Linked DNA regions of Arabidopsis thaliana. The protein of the gene in region 2 interacts with the protein of the main gene of each other region in a biochemical or structural test. Each region holds a gene or a part of one and is shown on either strand. Other genes may lie near its edges.

Region 1 (5,171 bases), on a different chromosome or scaffold from region 2:
CACTGTTTTTCTTTGAGTTGGAAATACGAATGGAACTTTCTAGAAAATATGGTTTCCGCAGGAGATATGAGGAATTAGAACCATCACAAGTCTTTAATATGTTCATTATCTTGAAATCTTTAGCGTTTATATGATGATATCTGTTACATTGAACTTATGTGCAGAGGTAGAGAGAACCAGTACACACTTGTGAGCAGGGCTTTAATATTCTATTAGCAACCAGTTAAAACCATTTTTTGTGTGCAAAGCAACCAGTTAAAACATAAGTATATATAATTTTGTGTTAAGAGAATATTCTTAAAGAATTTTTCCAAGCAAATTCAAAACTTATTAAACTATATGCTAGAGTCAATGATGTACTTTAGCAGAAAAAAAAAAAACACTACTATAATTAGTGAATTGAGAGTATTATTGTCCTTGTATTTAATTTTTAAACGTAAAAAATAATAAGATGGGTTTGATAATGTGAAGGTGAGCCCAACTAAAAACTAGAGACGTGGACCAATGGAAAAAAAGTAAGAAGACTCTTTGGTTTCTGACATCTTCCCCCACAAAACACAAAGTCGATGTGAAAGCAAATAATAGTGTTCGTCCACGTTACATCGACAATCAACGGCTGAGATTTGGTTTCATTATGTGTCTGTCTCATCGAGGTTGGTTCGTGTTTTTGTTTTTGTTGGTTGTGACAGTAATGGAGCGACACGTTATTTCGTTACAACTACTTTTTTCTTTTTTAAAACTTTTGTAATCAGAGGACTAAAGAAGTAAGTGGACCGATCATAAATAACAAACTCAGGTGATTGATTATTGGACCTTTGTCACTTCAGGATGGAGAAGCGTTTTCAATTCACCGGTGAAATAAAATATTAGCTGATTTTTTTAAAAAGAATTAAGGTTTTGAATGGATATTGTGGATAAATCGGATTAAAATTTGGAATTATACCAATATTTTCTTTTTTAACGAACATTTTGATTGGTAAACTTTAATCCATTTTGATATGTAAACTTTCTGAGAAGTTTTAGGACTATACCCATATATAATACCAATTTTTTATGTAAGAACTATATGAATTATTTTGTATATAGAGTTTTTTTTTCTTTTTGTTTTGTATATACCACTACAAATTATAATTTTGTGAATGATAAATAAGAAGTTGTCTAATCTACAAACCCATTTTGTTCTCCAACCACCGCAACCATGTGTACCTAAACAAATAAATATTAATTGGTTAATTAGCACAATTGTTAGAGTGAAATTATTATCTCGAATCCGATATAAAGAATTTGTCACTATTCTTTCCAAAATTTCCGATATTCAAAGTGTTGAGATCAATAGTAAAAATTTGAATCCGTCCAAATTGATTTAAATACAATTTTAAAGTTTACATACCCAAAAATCATTTGGTTTCTCTCAAAATATTTAAATATTTAGATATTACTTGGAAATCTGGGTAGTAACAATTTGGATTTGTCCAAGCAACATTTGGATCTAGATATCATAATTTCCAAGTCAACATATCCAAATTCGCCAGATATAATATTAATATATATATATATATATGTAAAATACAATATTTTCATTTCTTTTCTAGTATATAATACTTTATTTTCATAAACATAATCCAATCTTAATTTTACAATTTTAAAGACGTTTTAACATTTTAATTTATTGTGTAGATACAATGATTTTTGGACGGAATTCCAAAGTGAAAACAACTTATTTTAGGAACCTAAAGTAAATTAAAACAACATAAATCCTGAAAAGGAAAACAATTAGTAAGTGAAATTAGTAAAATAAAAACGAAGAGGGAAAGTGACGCAAAATACAAAGATACAGAGTATATACCATTTTATTAAAATAATTAGCAAAAGTAGTATTTATTCAAGATTGTTAGGAGCCAGAGAGACACTTGGCTCACCAGACAAACTACCTAATCACCCAAACGAAGAACCAAACATTTTGAAATTTTTTGGGAAAATTACAAAGCACACGAATTTAGCAAAAAGGTAATAGATTTTTCTTCTCTTTGTGTGTATAGAAGAAACTGTGGTTTTTGTTCATCTTCTTTTAATTCTTTCGATTTATGTCCACACTTAATTTTTGGATAAAATTACTAATTGTGCCTAATACTTGTCATAAACGCATTCATATTCTCCTGTTGGTTTAATCTGTTTTTATCCATTTGACTATTAAAGTTTTGAAATCTGTTAGTGTTTTTGAATTGGGTTTTGCAGATTTCTTGATTTTTATTTATAGATTAGGGTTCTGATACTAAAGTTTGGATTTTTAAACTAAAGTTTGGATTTTTTTTTGTATTCATGGTTCAGATCCAGTTATTAGGTGGAAGCAGATTTTGTAGAAAAATGGATGGTAGTATGAATTTGGGGAATGAGCCACCAGGAGATGGTGGTGGAGGTGGAGGGTTGACTAGACAAGGTTCGATATACTCGTTGACGTTTGATGAGTTTCAGAGCAGTGTAGGGAAAGATTTTGGGTCAATGAACATGGATGAGTTGTTAAAGAATATATGGAGTGCTGAAGAAACACAAGCCATGGCTAGTGGTGTGGTTCCAGTTCTTGGTGGAGGTCAAGAGGGTTTGCAGCTGCAGAGGCAAGGCTCGTTGACTCTGCCTCGAACGCTTAGTCAGAAGACGGTTGATCAAGTTTGGAAAGATCTATCCAAAGTTGGAAGTAGTGGAGTAGGGGGAAGTAACTTGTCTCAGGTGGCTCAGGCTCAGAGTCAGAGTCAGAGTCAGAGGCAGCAAACATTAGGTGAAGTAACTTTGGAGGAGTTTTTGGTTCGTGCTGGTGTTGTGAGAGAGGAAGCTCAGGTTGCTGCAAGAGCTCAGATTGCTGAGAACAATAAAGGCGGTTACTTTGGTAATGATGCCAACACAGGTTTCTCTGTCGAGTTTCAGCAGCCTTCTCCACGAGTTGTTGCCGCTGGTGTAATGGGAAATCTTGGTGCAGAGACTGCAAATTCTTTGCAGGTTCAAGGTTCTAGTTTGCCTCTGAATGTGAATGGAGCTAGAACAACATACCAGCAATCGCAACAGCAACAGCCAATCATGCCTAAGCAGCCTGGTTTTGGTTATGGAACACAAATGGGTCAGCTTAATAGTCCTGGGATAAGAGGTGGTGGTCTTGTGGGACTTGGAGATCAGTCTTTAACGAACAATGTGGGCTTTGTCCAAGGTGCTTCTGCTGCAATTCCTGGAGCTTTAGGCGTTGGTGCTGTGTCGCCTGTTACGCCATTGTCATCAGAAGGGATAGGGAAGAGTAATGGTGATTCTTCATCACTCTCTCCGTCTCCTTACATGTTTAATGGTGGTGTGAGAGGTAGAAAGAGTGGCACTGTGGAGAAAGTTGTAGAGAGAAGGCAAAGGAGAATGATAAAGAACCGAGAATCAGCTGCAAGGTCCCGGGCCAGGAAACAGGTTAATCTCTTCATCACCATCTATCTATGTACTCTTGATTGTGTTATAAGCCAAAAGATATGTAAAGTAAATTGGTTAGCTTATCTTGTAGTTAAGTTCTTTAACCACAATGAAGCGTTGAATTCAAAGCGTAAAGTGTCTTGTGTGAAGTAGTGTAGTAAACAACTAAACAGAATTATTGGGACTTGAAATCAGTACTTGTGGCTGAATGAATCTCGCAAACAAATATGAACCTTCTGGTTTTGGTGTATATACATGTTGCCCATCCGCAGATATTCACGGCAGACCAAACAATATACTGGAATGTAATTTGCTAATGTCATGAGGTGGCTCAGAGTTTAAATGAGTAGTGAGGGTTCATCGTCAAAACCTGAGTAGTGGCGACATGGTTTTTCTTTTGGGGCAAGGTAATGGGTAATTGGTGCTCCCAAAAACCTGTTACATCTGACATGTACTATGACCAAACTGTTGAGTTCTACATTTGAGGGTCTAAATGTTTTGAATGGCACTCTAGTCTTTATCTCATAAGCTTCTCAGTCGTGCTTGTTTTGGTTCATAGGCTTACACCGTGGAGCTTGAAGCTGAAGTTGCAAAGTTAAAGGAAGAGAATGACGAGTTACAACGAAAGCAGGTAATCACAAAACCATGTCTCAGCATCACAGTTGCTCATACGTTACATTCATTTCTCATTGTACGCCTCATGTTTTACAGGCAAGGATCATGGAAATGCAAAAGAATCAGGTAATAATTCTTATGCCAATGCAACAACACTGGAATCTCTAAACTGCACATTTCATAGCTGAACTTGTAAACTTGGTTGTTTGTTTCCGTGCTATGTATAAAACAGGAGACGGAGATGAGGAATCTTCTGCAAGGAGGTCCAAAGAAAAAGCTGAGGAGGACAGAGTCGGGACCTTGGTGAATCAATCAATGCCATCATACTTAGTTTCTGTAGATAAATGACATCCCACTTAGGTGTTTTAGTTGAATTAGACTTAATAGAGAAGAGCTTTCATCGTTTATATTGTAAGCTCTCTCCATATATGTTATGTTTTTTACATACACAGGATCATCAGAATCTCTTTTGCTTTATTTAGACCAAGAATTTTGTGTGTGTTTCTCGTTGTTGTTTGTCGTTGTCGCTATTAAACCTCAAAATGTACTTTCTTGATCTTGGAGTTACCAATTTTGAAGAATTGAAGTGTTGTTTGGTTTCTCTGAGTGCCAAAACTATGACCTGTGCCAACACAGCATTCTAGCCTTCTAGGCAAGCGACTATAACCCAAACCGAACCGAACCTTGGTCATTTCGGACGGATGAGGTAACCGAGTCGGTTTGATGTGGTTCACTGAACCGACAGTTACACAAAGTAAACATTTGTACTGAAATTTATGTATGTATCAAAGTAAAATTCCTCTAAATTCGATAACCAAACCAAACGGGATTAATCATTTGCATGGAGAATAAATACATAACCGAACCAATTTAACCGATGACCGAATCGAACCAAAACCGACTTATTCGGTTTGATTTTTTAGTTACTAAAAATGAAAGTGTTCACTCTCATTCTCTCCCACTTCGTCGCTCAAATTCTCCCTAATTTCACCTGCAAAACCCTAGTTTTTCGTTGATTCGTTTCGTCTCCGGTGTAAAATCAAATACTATCTTTAGGTATTTCGTCTTACCCAACTCTATCTTTCCATGTTTTCCGAGGACAAAATAAAAGGTTAATT
Region 2 (5,565 bases):
TTATCTAAAATTTGTATTTTGATCTCTAGTTGGCAGGAAGTGACTCTAACAAGAGTACCATAGTTGAGAAGCAAGGTCTGGACAAGCTAATCACACTCGCACTACGATTCTCTGATGATCCTCTAGTCATACAAGAGGTAAGTATATAAACCAAACGAAAACCCTCTTATGACACTATGTCCCATGCGCAATTTTAAATCTTCCTGTCTAGAGAAGATACTTGTGACTACAGGTCACGTCTTTGGCAGTTTTCCACTAGATAGAACGTAATGTCGTGTGAAGAATGTTTCTTGTAGCATTAGGGTCTGAGTGCATAATCCTTGTGGTTGATCCAAGATATACTTGATTGGTTCAGGTGATGTTGATAATCTCTATAATCTGTCTGAGATCACCAGACCACGCAGCCAAGGCTATAGAAGCTGGAGCTGGTGATCTAGCGGTCCAAGCAATGAAGAGGTTCCCAGTAGCTGCTCAAATGCAGAGAAACGCTTGCAACATGATACGGAACATTGCTGTCAGAAGTGCAGAGAACAGGTTTTTGCTCTGTTTCCAATTCTTGTCATCCAACAATATGCACATATCGCAAACTCTTTTATAATATCAAGTTCTGTCTGCATGCACACTACAGAACTATTCTGCTTGCTAATGGAATCGAGAAGCTGATAAGAACTGCTAAAGCCAACAATGAGACATGCAGAGCCGCTGCAACTGATGCACTGAGAGACCTTGGCCTTGATAACTACAATAACTAAGGTCAATCTTTCTCCATTGGTTGGTACTCGCAACAACCGGAATGAATCCAGTTTTTTTTTTCAAAAATTTCATAAACAGTTTGCATTGAGTTCTCTCTTTTGGGTAGAAGGCATTCCGATCTAGTCTTTTTTGCAACGATTGCTTTTGTTCGAATGCTTGAACATGTAGTAAAATTGAAAGGAATTGATTGAAAATTTCGGTGAAAGGTACTCTAAATAGTAAAAAAGTAAATAGAGAAACAGAGGCTTCACAATGAGAAATTTTCATTCATTCACTAAAATCATTCGTTTAGTCAATGAATTTCCTTTATTTAGAAGAAATCGATTTTAGTTTGAAACAAGGACAAAATGTTTGTTTGACTAAAGGGAAGAGAAACAAAGACAAAATGTTCACGTCCATGGAATGATCGAGCTCTAGAAGAGTGTATTGGGAATATTAAGTACGGATATATGTTTTTAAAAGATGATTAAAAAAAAAGTTTGCAGCAAAATCGTCATGTGGATGCGCATAAACAAAAACTTTAGATAGTAAAAATGATGGGCTATAGTGATGATGAGTGCAACTCTATCGGTTTCAGCTTTTAGGTGAAGATCTGACAAGCTAGCCAACAATATCTCGACATTTGTGGTAACTTGTTTTTCTTTTATTTTCCGTTTTTAAATGCGGAAACCCTTTTTATATACCGAAATAGAAAGTAAATCTTTTTAGTGGTCATTAATACATGGAGGTTCCCATGATTAGCCATAAGCTTGTTTAATGCGAGTATATGTTTCATCAGCTCCGTTTCAGGACATATTTAAGGGGCAAAATTAATCCAGTAGCCAAAAATGTACATATGTAAGGGACATATTACGATATTAATATATAGATCCACTAACAGAAAAACTAATTGTTAATTTAAATTATTTCTATTTCATTTTTCACTGTGTTTGATTAAATTAAATTGGGATATAAAATCAATTCAAAATCTGTTATTTTAAATCTCATACCATTCTAGTGCTATATTTTTGAAAACTTAGATATTTTTAGTAACTGTTCTAGGCATAAATTTAATCAATTAATATTTTCATATTTTTTGCTATACTATTTACAATAAGACATATAATAAATCGGAAAAAATTAATGCATAATATTATGGAGAGATAAAACTTACTGAAAAATAAAGAGTAACAAATCACATAGTTTATACTAATACTTTGCCAATAAAAAGAAAGTTTATACTAATTAAAATATTATTTTCTATACTAGTCACGGTAAAAAAAAACATTTCTAAAAACTACAGGCCCCATTGTTTGTCAGAACGTTGTAAGTAGAAAGGGTAAATCCGTCATTTCAAACTATCTCCCATGCTTTGACAAATCACAATTCAACAGTTCACAGAAAAAGCGAAAACTTCTTCTATCTCTCTCATCTTTCTGTTTTGTATAGCTTACTTCAAGCTGTGGTTTAAACAGAACAGAGAAAGCTGTTTCCTTTTTATATTGACAGAGAAAAGGAAAGCTGATAGAGAGAGAGACAGAGAGAGAGAAACAGAGTTCAAGATCACGAGCCTTCCTTCTTCTTCTTCTTCTTCATCGAGAGCGATCAAAGGAACAAAAAGGATCTCAAGAAACCCACTTGTGTTGTTGGTTAGATACTTCACGGGTCTCTGAAAACGTCTCTTTCTCACAACCATAACTTGATCACCCAATACTCCTTTTCTCATCTTAAAGGCTCAAATTCATCCACGTCACACCGTTGTTCATTTCCTCTGATGTCTTGGTGTCGTTAGATATTGTCTCCCAAAAAAGAAATCTTCTTGACACAGAGATTGAAGTCGCAAAGAGACAGAGGAAAGAGGGGGAGAAAATGGATCGACCAGCAGTGAGTGGTCCAATGGATTTGCCGATTATGCACGATAGTGATAGGTATGAACTCGTCAAGGATATTGGCTCCGGTAATTTTGGAGTTGCGAGATTGATGAGAGACAAGCAAAGTAATGAGCTTGTTGCTGTTAAATATATCGAGAGAGGTGAGAAGGTCAGTTTATTTTCTTCTTGTTTTTTCTCCTTAGTCCAATTTTATTTTATGTTTCAATTCACTAGGTTCTTGAATTCAAAAGAAATCATTTTTGTGTGTTCATCATCCAATGAGAGATGTGTGTTTGGTTACTTTATGGTTATGAATGGTTTAACCCTATAGATTTACAAAATTGATTGATTTTTATGGAAGACCAAATTTGCTCTGCTTTGCTTTATGACTTATGTTGTATAGTGTTGTTTTAAAGGCTCTAGGTGTTTCTTTTGTTATGGAACGTGGTATTAATGGTGGGACTTTTTGTATTTGTACAGATAGATGAAAATGTAAAAAGGGAGATAATCAACCACAGGTCCTTAAGACATCCCAATATCGTTAGATTCAAAGAGGTTTGTTTTCAACTCTCTTTTAAGCTGTTTTCTTATTATTAACATTTTCAGGAAAAAAAAGGAATTCTATAATTTAATCCTTAGGATTGCTTCAGGTTATATTAACACCAACCCATTTAGCCATTGTTATGGAATATGCATCTGGAGGAGAACTTTTCGAGCGAATCTGCAATGCAGGCCGCTTCAGCGAAGACGAGGTTGTTCTCTCTTTTTTTTCTTGCTTTGATGATTAATCGAAGATTCAAAATGCTGAGGCTAATATATCGTTTACTATCATGTAGGCGAGGTTTTTCTTCCAGCAACTCATTTCAGGAGTTAGTTACTGTCATGCTATGGTAATGAAAAATGCTCTCTATCAAATCAATGCTTCATCCTCTGTGAAATTCAGCTGACTTAAGAAGTTAAATTTTATGTTGTAGCAAGTATGTCACCGAGACTTAAAGCTCGAGAATACGTTATTAGATGGTAGCCCGGCCCCTCGTCTAAAGATATGTGATTTCGGATATTCTAAGGTATCTTTGAAAACATTTCAGAAACTCTGAGTTAGTTAGTATCTCTAAGCTTTGTGTTTTCTTTTTCAGTCATCAGTGTTACATTCGCAACCAAAATCAACTGTTGGAACTCCTGCTTACATCGCTCCTGAGGTTTTACTAAAGAAAGAATATGATGGAAAGGTACTCCATTTTCATAGTTCCCAAACTAGTATGATAACCATATCTTATAGAAAGAACAATCTTTGTATTTTTATCCTCTGATTATAGATAGGGGAAACATGCTTTCTCTTGATGAAAGCTCACACAAATAAAACAATCTTGGCTCTTCAAGAATTTTGGTGAAGAAAGCTATTAAGAGTCTGATTTGTAAACTGATAATTCTTGAGTTTTGGTTGAATTAGTCAAATGCATCCTAATGTTCTTCTTTTTTTTCAGGTTGCAGATGTTTGGTCTTGTGGGGTTACTCTGTATGTCATGCTGGTTGGAGCATATCCTTTCGAAGATCCCGAGGAACCAAAGAATTTCAGGAAAACTATACATGTGAGCCTTTCACTTTCTTCATGCTTCAATAGTTGAAAAATGTAATTATGGATTTTATTACTTGCTAGCTAAACTATCTGTTCTCTTGTGAAAATATTTGCTCAGAGAATCCTGAATGTTCAGTATGCTATTCCGGATTATGTTCACATATCTCCTGAATGTCGCCATTTGATCTCCAGAATATTTGTTGCTGACCCTGCAAAGGTAAAGGAAGGATCATGAAAGCTGCATTTGTTGATTTATTTGTGAATTTTCTTTATAGTATGACTGAAAAGAGAACTTTGCATTTTGGCCCTCTTGGTTGGTTTCTTGGCAGAGGATATCAATTCCTGAAATAAGGAACCATGAATGGTTTCTAAAGAATCTACCGGCAGATCTAATGAACGATAACACGATGACCACTCAGTTTGATGAATCGGATCAACCGGGCCAAAGCATAGAAGAAATTATGCAGATCATTGCAGAAGCAACTGTTCCTCCTGCAGGCACTCAGAATCTGAACCATTACCTCACAGGTGAGACAACACAAAACATAAACTTTTCGATTTCTTGTCTTTTTTAATGCTTCTCAATGTTTGAAAAACTTATCATTAATGGATAAACAGGAAGCTTGGACATAGATGACGATATGGAGGAAGACTTAGAGAGCGACCTTGATGATCTTGACATCGACAGTAGCGGAGAGATTGTGTACGCAATGTGATACTATATATCTATTTGCATGGTTTCTGCTACAAAAATGTCAAACAAAAAATGTTGAAGAATAAGATTAAGATGTTTTGCTTGCTATTGAGTTGGCCCAACTTTGTCTCAATGAGTACACTTTGAATCTTTGATATGCAAAAGACTAAATTTCTAAACAAAAGTGAAAAAAAAAAAAAAAAACATTTTCATCAATCAGTATTTTATCTACTCTCTCTAGTATTTTTTGTTTGTTTTTCTAATAATACTAGAAACAAAATTGTTAAACTAATTTGGAGAAGTTGACAACTAAACAACATATAGGCTATGCAAAAGATAAAGAAATCGATATTCTGTAGTACTATACAGATTAAAGTGGGTACTTGATAATATCAAACTGAAGTAAATAGATGGGGCATATCTTGAAGACTTGAACTATATGGAAATAAGATGATATTCCCATTTTCACAAAAAATACAAAAACAGCATAAATGTAGATGGAACACATTCATTAATAATTTAATATGCATGTTATATGTTCAGAAGGACATACGTACGGTAATTCGCTTTAAATTAAAAAAGATGCTTATTCACGCATCTTCGTTTTTTTTCTTTTCTAAATATTTTTCGAATAATAAATTGATAATGAACCAGTACTTGATAGTTGTTCTTGTTCATTGAAATTAATATTA
Region 3 (5,971 bases), on a different chromosome or scaffold from region 2:
ACGAATATGTGGAGCTCTATGTAGACGCATAATTGTGCCGCATATAAATGCCGTCAGCTTAATTTTGGCAGTTTTCGTTACACGAAAATGGAACAAATGTAAATGATCAAATAAGAGAGGACCCATAACATCATATATGTGTCGGCCTTTCGATCACCCTCTCCACATAAAACCTCAAATGGCCATATTTTTTTCATTTATATATTTCTTAAATGGAGTAATACCCATTACCCAAAAAAGTGGTCACCAAGAGGAATTATTCTGTTATAGATTCCACCATCGAAGCTAAAAGCAAATAGATATATTATTGATAAAATAAAATAAGGATGGCTGCTAGAAATAGAAACGCATGGGTGTTTTGGATAATCCTATAATATATGTTTGGTAAATATAATATTACATTTTCGATAACTTATTGTATTAAGTTCATATTTAAAACCAACTCGTGCTAAGAAACGAATAAATGCCGTGGAGCATAAATATTAGTAACTTGGTATATTAAATAAGTGAGACTTACATTTGTTTTTAAAATTTGGTCAAGGGTTTACATTTCTCATTTAAAGAAATGTCATAAGATAAACTAAACAAAAATTATAGTTGTTGAGATTAGGTAGCTTGAATGTTAACTCAAAAGTTTCATGCTTTTTCATTCGCTCAATTGCTTTTGTTTTGAATGGAGCAATCAGAAGAAAATAAGTTTAATTGTTAAAACAAGTCGCCAACAATTTTTGAACCATTGAAAACATAAACCAATATTTGAAGCATTTAAGAAAGATTTTTTTTTTGAATCATGGATGTTGAAAACTTTGACTTCGATCAAAGGACAAAATTTTCAATTTTCAATCTTTATGATATCGTAAATCACTTTATTTTTGAAAAGTGAATCAAAAAACATTTGTCGAACTCTAATAGCTTGAACTCAAAATTTTTCAGTAATCATAAAATCTCCAGATTTTACTGCATTTTTTATTTTTACATTCGAATTACCTTGTTTAAATATGTAGATTATGTACTTTCGCTTTTGTTTTCCTTAACCATATTGTTTTCCTTTTAAAACATAGATGCCAAATATTAAGTTTATTTTAGTATCACTTTAAACCACATATCTTAAACAATTTAGTTACATTAAATTCAAACAATATAATGCAAGTAAATGAATAAAGATGGGGATATAAAAAAAGGTAAAGAAAAACAAAGGTAAAGATTGCTTTGACTAAATATAGCCAAATAGGCAAATATAATTACAGTCCTTCATCTTTTCTCTAGCTTTAGAATTTGTCTTCAAATATGAACATAATTAGTATAGTATTTTGATAATCACTTTATAGAAAGCTTGAATTATATGAATCAACATCCCACTTATCAAAAGCCACACTTTTCATTTCCTTTTTCACTCTCACTTTGACATTTTAACTTTCCTCATAATTACAAAAAAATATTGTATTAAATAGTAATTACTAAAATTAAGAAAATTCTTAGCATCTGAAGATTTAGTTGACTAATCTCAGACCTAATCTGTTTCAGTAAACTCTATATATGTAAATTAAATTATATCTCTGATTATAAATTAAAAACAAAAAAACAAAAAACGTCTCTTTGTATCTCCTCAAAAGCCGAAACAAAACCTCTCTTTCTCACAAGTAAGCAACTTCAAAATCTGGTTAACCCAAATTACAAAAAAAACAAAAAAATAAAAAGTCGCTCTCTTTCTTCTTAAAAATCTCAACTTTGTCGTCCAAAACTCCAAATCCAGAAACCCATACGCAAATATCCTTCTACGTGTTTGCTCCTTTCACGTTTTTCTCGAATCTTCTCGCATTTACCAATCAAACAGATTCTAAAGTTCCAAACTTTTTCTTTCTTTCTCAAACCATTCTCTGTTTCTCAACTCTTCACTTTCCAGTGGTAAGATTTGAATCATGGGTTTCTCAAATTCTTAACTTTTCACAAAAGCCCACCATGGAAATCGAATCAGGAAGTTATCAAAACGCCAAGGTAAGTCATCATCAGATTTGATCACAAAGTTCTTACCTTTACGAAAACTCTCTTCTCTTTCCTCGTAATCATCGATATCTGATTTTGTTGATTGCAGAAGGAATCATGGAGAACAGTATTAACATTAGCGTATCAAAGCTTAGGTGTTGTATACGGAGACTTGAGTATTTCACCTCTATATGTATACAAAAGCACATTCGCTGAAGACATTCATCACTCTGAATCCAACGAAGAGATCTTTGGTGTTTTGTCTTTCATCTTTTGGACAATCACTCTTGTCCCTCTTCTTAAATACGTTTTCATAGTTCTTAGAGCAGATGATAATGGTGAAGGAGGCACTTTTGCTCTTTACTCGCTTTTATGTCGACACGCACGAGTCAACTCGTTACCGAGTTGTCAATTGGCTGATGAGCAGCTTATTGAGTATAAGACTGATTCAATTGGTTCGTCTTCGATGCCTCAATCTGGTTTTGCAGCGAGTTTGAAATCTACTCTTGAGAAACATGGAGTTTTGCAGAAGATTTTGCTTGTTCTTGCTTTGATTGGGACTTGTATGGTTATTGGTGATGGTGTTCTCACGCCTGCTATTTCAGGTTTAGTCAACAAAAATATCTTTGACTTTTCTCTTTGTTTCATGTCAAAGACAAGATCATTGATTTGTTTTACTTATCACTGTTCATTTCTTTTGTCTATTACAGTTTTTTCTGCAGTATCTGGTGTTGAGCTTTCAATGTCTAAGGAGCATCACAAGTGTGAGTTTTTTCTCACTATTCTTGATTAGTTTCCTAGGCCTAGTTCATGGTGATTGTGGTCATAGATTGAGTCTAGTTTTCTCACAAGCTTGGGTCCTAGAATCATCCTGAAGTCGTCGGGTTTTTTTTCTTAACTGTGGAGCCCGTTGTTCCCACCATCTGTTTATTTGATTGCTTGATAGAGTTTGCACGTAACACGAATTAAATATCGTGGCGCCATCACGATATCAGGATTATCTATATCGCTTTCGGTTCCTTAATTTGATGGCCCACGTTATTGAATAGGTGTTTGGAGTCTTCTCTAGACATCAAGTGGATATCTATACCAAAACTAGTAGTTCATTATTGGATCTTTGTGTAACATTTTACTTTATTATTGAGTTTCAATCTGCAACTGTCATGTTCAACAAGTCTCGTAGATGTTAAAGTTTTGACCTTTTGCCTCATAATAAGGTTATTGTGATTGTGTCTGAAACTTTTTTCTTTGGCTTTTTGTTTTGTTTATGCAGATATAGAACTCCCTGCTGCTTGTGTAATTCTGATAGGTTTGTTTGCACTTCAGCACTACGGTACACACAGGGTCGGGTTCTTGTTCGCCCCGGTGATTCTGTTGTGGCTAATGTGTATCAGCGCCATCGGTGTTTACAACATTTTCCATTGGAACCCGCATGTGTACCAAGCACTTTCTCCTTATTACATGTACAAGTTCCTCAAGAAAACTCAAAGTAGAGGCTGGATGTCTCTTGGTGGTATCTTACTCTGCATTACAGGTTCCGAAGCAATGTTTGCGGATCTAGGACATTTTTCTCAACTCTCAATCAAGGTCTTATAGACTTCTTCTCTTCTCTATTTCTTCTTAACATTTGTTCTCCATTTTCCTTCTTAACATTCTCTATTGTCCTCTTGTTACAGATTGCTTTTACGTCACTTGTTTACCCGTCCTTGATACTCGCCTACATGGGACAAGCAGCTTATCTCTCTCAGCATCATATTATTGAAAGCGAATACAATATCGGGTTTTATGTATCGGTACCAGAAAGATTAAGATGGCCAGTTCTTGTGATCGCTATACTCGCTGCTGTAGTTGGAAGTCAAGCAATCATCACAGGAACATTCTCGATCATCAAACAATGCTCTGCATTGGGATGCTTCCCTAAAGTGAAGATTGTTCATACGTCATCCAAAATCCACGGTCAGATTTACATCCCTGAGATCAATTGGATCTTGATGGTTCTCTGTTTAGCTGTCACCATTGGCTTCAGAGACACCAAGCGGTTGGGTAATGCTTCAGGTATTTATAACTGAAATCATTTCATTTTAGTTTGGTTACTACTTCAGGTACCGTTGCTAACTAACTAACCGTTGATAATGTTTTTTTAATAGGATTGGCGGTTATAACTGTTATGCTGGTGACAACATGCTTAATGTCACTAGTGATTGTACTTTGCTGGCACAAGAGTGTCATCTTTGCAATCGTATTCGTTGTATTCTTCGGCACAATCGAATCTCTCTACTTCTCTGCTTCCTTAATCAAATTCCTCGAAGGCGCATGGGTTCCAATCGCCCTCGCTTTTTGCTTCCTTCTCGCGATGTGTACTTGGCACTACGGAACACTCAAGCGCTATGAGTACGATGTGCAAAACAAAGTCTCGGTCAACTGGCTCCTCAGTCTTAGTCAAACCCTCGGGATCGCACGTGTCCGTGGCCTTGGACTCATCCACACCGAGCTCGTCTCTGGTGTCCCCGCGATATTCTCTCATTTTGTCACCAACCTCCCTGCCTTCCACCAGGTTCTCGTCTTCCTCTGTGTCAAATCTGTTCCGGTTCCGCATGTTCGTCCTCAGGAACGGTTTCTAGTAGGACGCATCGGGCCAAAAGAGTTCCGCATATACCGTTGCATTGTCCGGTTCGGGTACCGTGATGTCCACAAAGACGATTTCGAGTTTGAAGGCGATCTTGTATGTAGCATTGCCGAGTTTATCCGTACTGAAGCTGAAACCGCCGCCACCGCTGCAGAGACCAACGGAGAGGATGATGATAGAATGTCAGTAGTAGGTACTTGTTCCACATACATGCAAGGAATTGAGGATCACTACGAAAGCGATATTGATGACCCTGATAAACCAGGGACGTCAGAGATTCGATCACCAAAACCAAAGAAAAAGAGTAAGAGTAAGGTCAAAAAGAGAGTGAGGTTTGTTGTCCCGGAGACTCCAAAGATAGAAAAGGAAACTAGGCAAGAGTTAATGGAGCTAACAGAGGCACGAGAGGGAGGCGTGGCTTATATAATGGGAAACGCTTATATGAAAGCGAAGCCAGGATCAGGATTACTCAAGAGACTCGCCATTAACATTGGCTACGAGTTTCTTAGGAGGAACACTAGAGGTCCTAGAAACATGCTTACCTCGCCTCACGCTTCTACTTTAGAAGTCGGTATGATCTATAATGTCTAAAGGGGGGTATTTTGGTCTTTTTGTAAATGCTTTTGTTGTGGTTTAATTTGCCAAAAAAAAAAAAATGAATTAGATATAGCTAAAGAAATTTTGTTCTGTGGAGGTTTTGCTAAAGGTTGTTAGAGTTTATAGCTCAAGAATCCTCCCTTAGAGCCAAATATAGAGTTCAAACTTGTGTACAAATGATATATGTGAATCATGTTTACAATATGTTTGTGATTACATTGTCCCATTTTAAAGCAAAAAATAGTCCATGAGGTTGTATGGAGCATGGTGGGCTACTAATGGGCCATCAAAACAAAATTTCGAAAAAGTTAAAACCGGTTAAGCTAATCAGATTTAGCCAGACCGGACCAAATCCGAAGATGAAAATCCATTCGTCGAGCTGTCAATGTTGGACTGGTATTAATTTGTCTGAAAGCGATCTGACTTTGGATAATATTACTCAAATAACAGCTCAAATGTTTTAAAACTGAAACCACGTGCTTCTCTAAATTTTAGTTATCCTTTCTCTTTCGTTTATATTATTAATTTTTCTGACTCAAATTCAGTCTTGCTTTTTTTTTATAAATGAAACTATTTAAGCAATCTCATTGTATGAGTTTTTGTATGATTTATCTAATAAGTAGTATATTCTTTTTTATGTGTCCCTAGTTATCTTCTTTACGTCATGAATTTTCTTGTCGTGTATGAAATATTATAATTTGCAGACATTGTGTTCGAAACGTAAACTCAGAAGTCTTATACAAGAATATACAGTTTTGATAATTT
Region 4 (4,373 bases), on a different chromosome or scaffold from region 2:
GAGACCGTCACAGCTATCAAAAGAAACTAAGAAGAATTCTTCGTCCTCCTTCTCCTTCTCCTTCTCCTTCTCCTTGTCCTTCTCCCAAGGTGTAGGGATGGTGACCGATGATGATGAACCCAACACCAGTGTAGTTAGATGTTTTAAATCCGGGTTAAAATAATCCTCACGACTTCTGGAGACCATGAGAAGAGCTGGATCACCTGATTGCTGACGCTGTGTCAATTGTCTTTGTTGGAAGAATGGAGATTCGATCGATGATTTCCATTGTTTCGATACAGCCGTGAATCTCAGCAGAGAATCCACAGCAAGTCTTCTCTAGGATGCGCTCTACGACCTCGTGGGGCAGCGATTCCATCCTCAAGCAGCGTTGCTTTTTTGACATTCTTTTTGTGATTGTTTTGTTGAACAGGGGCTTGCTTATTTATAACCAGGAAAAGAATAATTCTTCTTTATCCTTGATTTCCTTTTCCTTAAGGAAAAAGGATCTTCCTAACCGCTTTGAACCCTATCTCTCTGTTTTTCGGTTTTCCCTTTTACTTCTAGGGTTTTCATAAAGCCTTGGAACCCAATTACGTGTTTTAAACCGACGGTCATGATCTTGTCTTCAGGATCAGATATATATTATTCGACACATCGTGGGACCCACCACTATTCTGACTGGGTCTGCCTGCTTTCCGGTTGCTTCCAATAATGTCGAACCAAAAAGCCACGAACGCTAAATAAGAATCTACTTTGCAAGTCTAAGAGATTCATGCAATAATTCTTCACTAATGTTGTGGGTTTTGAAAACATTAGGTATTGCAAGAATATAGATTTTGTAAACACACCCTAATGATCTCAAACCTTATATATATGGTTAACAATCTAATCCCATAAGTATTCCCATTTCACAACACTCATATATTGTTAGAGCTATATGAAGTAAGGTTACATTACAACTTTTTGTTTACTATAAAAACAAAAACTACAGGCTATAAATGCCAAGGTTTAGAACAACTTAGGGGCGTTACTCTTACAAAACTTGTGGCGGTATAGTGGTCATCTCTGTGGCAATCTACCTTCAATGTGTGAGGGTTCGATCTCAAGCTTAGCTTATATTTGTAATTTTTTATTAATCAACAGTCCGAATATTGTTTTAAACCTGATTCATAAACAAACATTATAAATTATAAATTATAGATTGTATCATATTATTCAAGAAGTTGTGAAAATAATCACGGCTTATGTGAGTTTGTCTTATGGTCCTATGACTCCTAATCCATGCGAGGCTATTTGATGATTTATTATATCACTTTTGTATTATTTTGAGTTCATTGATCAAAGTTTTTTGTTTGGATAAAGGGAAAACGTAAAGCATTTTGGAACGAAATTCATAGAAAAATCTCTTACAAAGAAGAAGAATATATGCCATTCATATTTCTGCACATATGTTTGGTTGCTTTAATCTTTCGACCCCTTTTTCCAAAATGTTAGTATTATATGTTAAGTTTATAAGTTTTAACCAAACAAGAGGAGCTAACAGAAATCGAATTAACGACTCAAATTATGTTTTGTATAGAAAAGAGCAAATTGACTTTGGTTGCATTTGAATCTCGTGACTAATGGAACGGCCTTTTTTTTTTTTTTTTTTTCATCGTCTCTCACCTTTTCCAAGTAGTTTGGATCGAAAAGCTTTCACGAGAAACCTAAGAAACTTTCCAGGAAAGTTTTGGTTCACATACGCATTAACTCACACCATTCACCAAGCTTTCTCGTGCCCCTTAACCACAAACTTTGCTTTTTTTAACTTAGTCCATTGCATCTTTCTATATACATTAACATGTTTCCTTTCCATACTAGAAGAAAAATATCTTCTCTTGTGTTTCAAATTATCAAATTGCTCTGATCAATGGAGAGGAAACAGTCAAATGCTCATTCCACTTTCGCCGACATCAATGAAGTTGAAGATGAAGCAGAGCAAGAACTGCAACAGCAAGAGAACAACAACAACAAGAGATTCTCTGGAAACAGAGGACCAAACCGAGGGAAACAAAGACCATTCAGAGGTTTTAGCAGACAGGTTTCGCTAGAGACAGGTTTCTCAGTGCTCAACAGAGAATCTAGAGAAAGAGATGACAAAAAGAGTTTACCGAGGAGTGGTCGTAGCTTTGGCGGGTTTGAATCAGGTGGAATCATCAACGGTGGAGATGGTCGGAAAACAGATTTTAGTATGTTTAGGACTAAATCAACGCTCAGCAAACAAAAGTCTTTATTGCCTTCTATAATAAGGGAGAGAGACATTGAGAATTCTTTAAGAACTGAAGATGGTGAGACCAAAGATGATTCTATAAATGAAAATGTTTCTGCAGGAAGATACTTTGCTGCTCTTAGAGGACCTGAATTGGATGAAGTCAAGGTAACAACTCTTCTTCTTTCTCTTTCTCTCTTCAAAACTTAATTATCAGTTAGTTCCAATTGTACTCTCTTGCAGGACAATGAAGATATTCTGCTTCCAAAAGAGGAGCAATGGCCGTTTCTCCTAAGGTTCCCAATTGGATGCTTCGGTATCTGTTTGGGACTTAGCAGTCAAGCTGTCTTGTGGCTTGCCCTAGCGAAAAGTCCTGCAACAAACTTTTTACACATCACACCATTGATTAACTTAGTTGTATGGCTATTTTCACTGGTAGTTTTAGTCTCTGTGTCCTTCACTTACATACTCAAATGCATCTTCTACTTTGAAGCTGTCAAAAGAGAGTATTTTCATCCTGTTCGAGTCAACTTCTTCTTCGCTCCTTGGGTGGTTTGCATGTTCCTAGCCATTAGCGTACCTCCCATGTTCTCACCAAACCGAAAATACCTCCATCCCGCCATTTGGTGTGTTTTCATGGGTCCTTATTTCTTCCTCGAGCTAAAGATCTACGGGCAATGGCTTTCGGGAGGGAAGAGGCGACTATGCAAAGTCGCAAACCCATCTTCTCATCTTTCTGTTGTAGGGAATTTCGTCGGGGCCATCTTAGCTTCAAAAGTTGGATGGGATGAAGTAGCTAAGTTTCTATGGGCAGTAGGTTTTGCACATTACTTGGTTGTGTTTGTAACACTTTATCAGAGACTTCCCACCAGTGAAGCTCTTCCTAAAGAGCTTCATCCTGTTTACTCTATGTTCATTGCTGCCCCATCAGCAGCAAGTATTGCTTGGAACACGATATATGGCCAATTCGACGGATGTTCAAGAACTTGCTTCTTCATTGCACTCTTCCTATACATATCCCTAGTTGCTCGGATCAATTTCTTCACTGGATTTAAGTAAGTCCATCTCGGGTTTAAATATTCTTGGTTGAAGATATATGTTGATGATACTAAGTGGCTACGGGGTTTTGCAGGTTCTCAGTGGCGTGGTGGTCATATACTTTTCCTATGACAACAGCATCCGTAGCAACAATAAAGTATGCAGAGGCAGTACCTGGTTACCCGAGCCGGGCTCTAGCACTCACTCTTTCCTTCATTTCCACAGCGATGGTCTGCGTTTTGTTTGTCTCCACGCTTCTCCACGCCTTTGTCTGGCAAACGTTGTTCCCAAACGATCTTGCAATTGCCATTACAAAGAGGAAACTTACCAGGGAGAAGAAGCCTTTTAAAAGAGCTTATGACTTGAAGCGCTGGACCAAGCAGGCTCTGGCGAAGAAAATATCTGCAGAAAAAGATTTTGAAGCAGAGGAAGAGTCGCATCACTGATGTAAAATCATGGAATACAGAAGTATCTTTTAGATCGAAATAATAGTTCAGAAAAACACTTAGATATAGAGACAAAAGTAGGTGAGATAGCATATTGTATGTATCTCCAGAAGCATGTTTAATAGTAATACTACATCAATAATACAGAACCCAAAAATCACATTCACATTTCAAAGCTAGCTGAAGAAGAGATCACACAAGAAAGAATTCACGGTTTGACATGAATCAAACAGGCAAAGAAATGGTCCTCTGGTTTGCTAAGTTGGTCTCTGATCGGAGGTCCCATGAAGTAGAATACTGTGAATCCTCAGGTTTAATAAAAGGCAGAGTGATCTCATTGATCATTAATTCTCCACAGAACGGGCATTCGCTGGCAATAGCATCATCTAGCTCTGATCGAAGCTGCCTCACCGTAAAGAAAATATGTCAGGTCACAGAAAAATGTTAAAGAAAAGATTAAAAAAGGAAAAGAAAATGTCCCTACCTTGTCTGCAGTTGTTGTGCTTGTTATGGGTTCATCAGATCGGTTACCATTTATATCCCTCCGGGTTTCGCTTCCAAGCAATGTCAGTTGCTTCTGCAGATCGAGTATATGCTCGGCCTAGACAGATTTTGGGAAAACCAATCAAAAAATGGAATCACAATAACGAACAAATATT

Evidence for each region.
Region 1: of the proteins of OST1 (region 2) and ABF2, one has a biochemical effect on the other in vitro, tested with the Arabidopsis thaliana proteins (3 studies listed by BioGRID).
Region 3: of the proteins of OST1 (region 2) and KUP6, one has a biochemical effect on the other in vitro, tested with the Arabidopsis thaliana proteins (one study listed by BioGRID).
Region 4: of the proteins of OST1 (region 2) and OZS1, one has a biochemical effect on the other in vitro, tested with the Arabidopsis thaliana proteins (4 studies listed by BioGRID).

The regions. Positions count from the first base shown.
Region 1 is NC_003070.9:17,164,609-17,169,779, reverse strand, and holds ABF2 (abscisic acid responsive elements-binding factor 2), read left to right. Parts: upstream 1-1,890; 5' UTR 1,891-2,007; intron 2,008-2,038; exon of another isoform or gene 2,039-2,298; 5' UTR 2,299-2,319; coding exon 2,320-3,438; coding exon of another isoform or gene 3,439-3,591; exon of another isoform or gene 3,592-3,710; coding exon of another isoform or gene 3,711-3,755; exon of another isoform or gene 3,756-3,997; coding exon 3,998-4,069; intron 4,070-4,149; coding exon 4,150-4,179; intron 4,180-4,285; coding exon 4,286-4,360; 3' UTR 4,361-4,622; downstream 4,623-5,171. UniProt on the Arabidopsis thaliana protein: Involved in ABA and stress responses and acts as a positive component of glucose signal transduction. Functions as a transcriptional activator in the ABA-inducible expression of rd29B.
Region 2 is NC_003075.7:16,269,763-16,275,327, forward strand, and holds OST1 (Protein kinase superfamily protein), read left to right. Parts: upstream 1-1,982; 5' UTR 1,983-2,601; coding exon 2,602-2,772; intron 2,773-3,083; coding exon 3,084-3,158; intron 3,159-3,253; coding exon 3,254-3,355; intron 3,356-3,439; coding exon 3,440-3,493; intron 3,494-3,577; coding exon 3,578-3,670; intron 3,671-3,739; coding exon 3,740-3,832; intron 3,833-4,087; coding exon 4,088-4,192; intron 4,193-4,297; coding exon 4,298-4,396; intron 4,397-4,508; coding exon 4,509-4,707; coding exon of another isoform or gene 4,708-4,754; exon of another isoform or gene 4,755-4,797; coding exon 4,798-4,895; 3' UTR 4,896-5,063; downstream 5,064-5,565. Other genes in the region: AT4G33945 (ARM repeat superfamily protein), read left to right, coding at 30-137, 356-534, 629-752.
Region 3 is NC_003070.9:26,477,222-26,483,192, reverse strand, and holds KUP6 (K+ uptake permease 6), read left to right. Parts: upstream 1-1,562; 5' UTR 1,563-1,959; coding exon 1,960-1,995; intron 1,996-2,092; coding exon 2,093-2,588; intron 2,589-2,693; coding exon 2,694-2,747; intron 2,748-3,256; coding exon 3,257-3,570; intron 3,571-3,659; coding exon 3,660-4,038; intron 4,039-4,130; coding exon 4,131-5,200; 3' UTR 5,201-5,450; downstream 5,451-5,971. UniProt on the Arabidopsis thaliana protein: Probable potassium transporter.
Region 4 is NC_003070.9:4,256,768-4,261,140, reverse strand, and holds OZS1 (C4-dicarboxylate transporter/malic acid transport protein), read left to right. Parts: upstream 1-1,840; 5' UTR 1,841-1,891; coding exon 1,892-2,398; intron 2,399-2,473; coding exon 2,474-3,285; intron 3,286-3,362; coding exon 3,363-3,714; 3' UTR 3,715-3,873; downstream 3,874-4,373. Other genes in the region: AT1G12490 (F-box associated ubiquitination effector family protein), read right to left, coding at 1-175, 204-358; AT1G12470 (zinc ion binding protein), read right to left, coding at 3,940-4,116, 4,199-4,315. UniProt on the Arabidopsis thaliana protein: Slow, weak voltage-dependent S-type anion efflux channel involved in maintenance of anion homeostasis.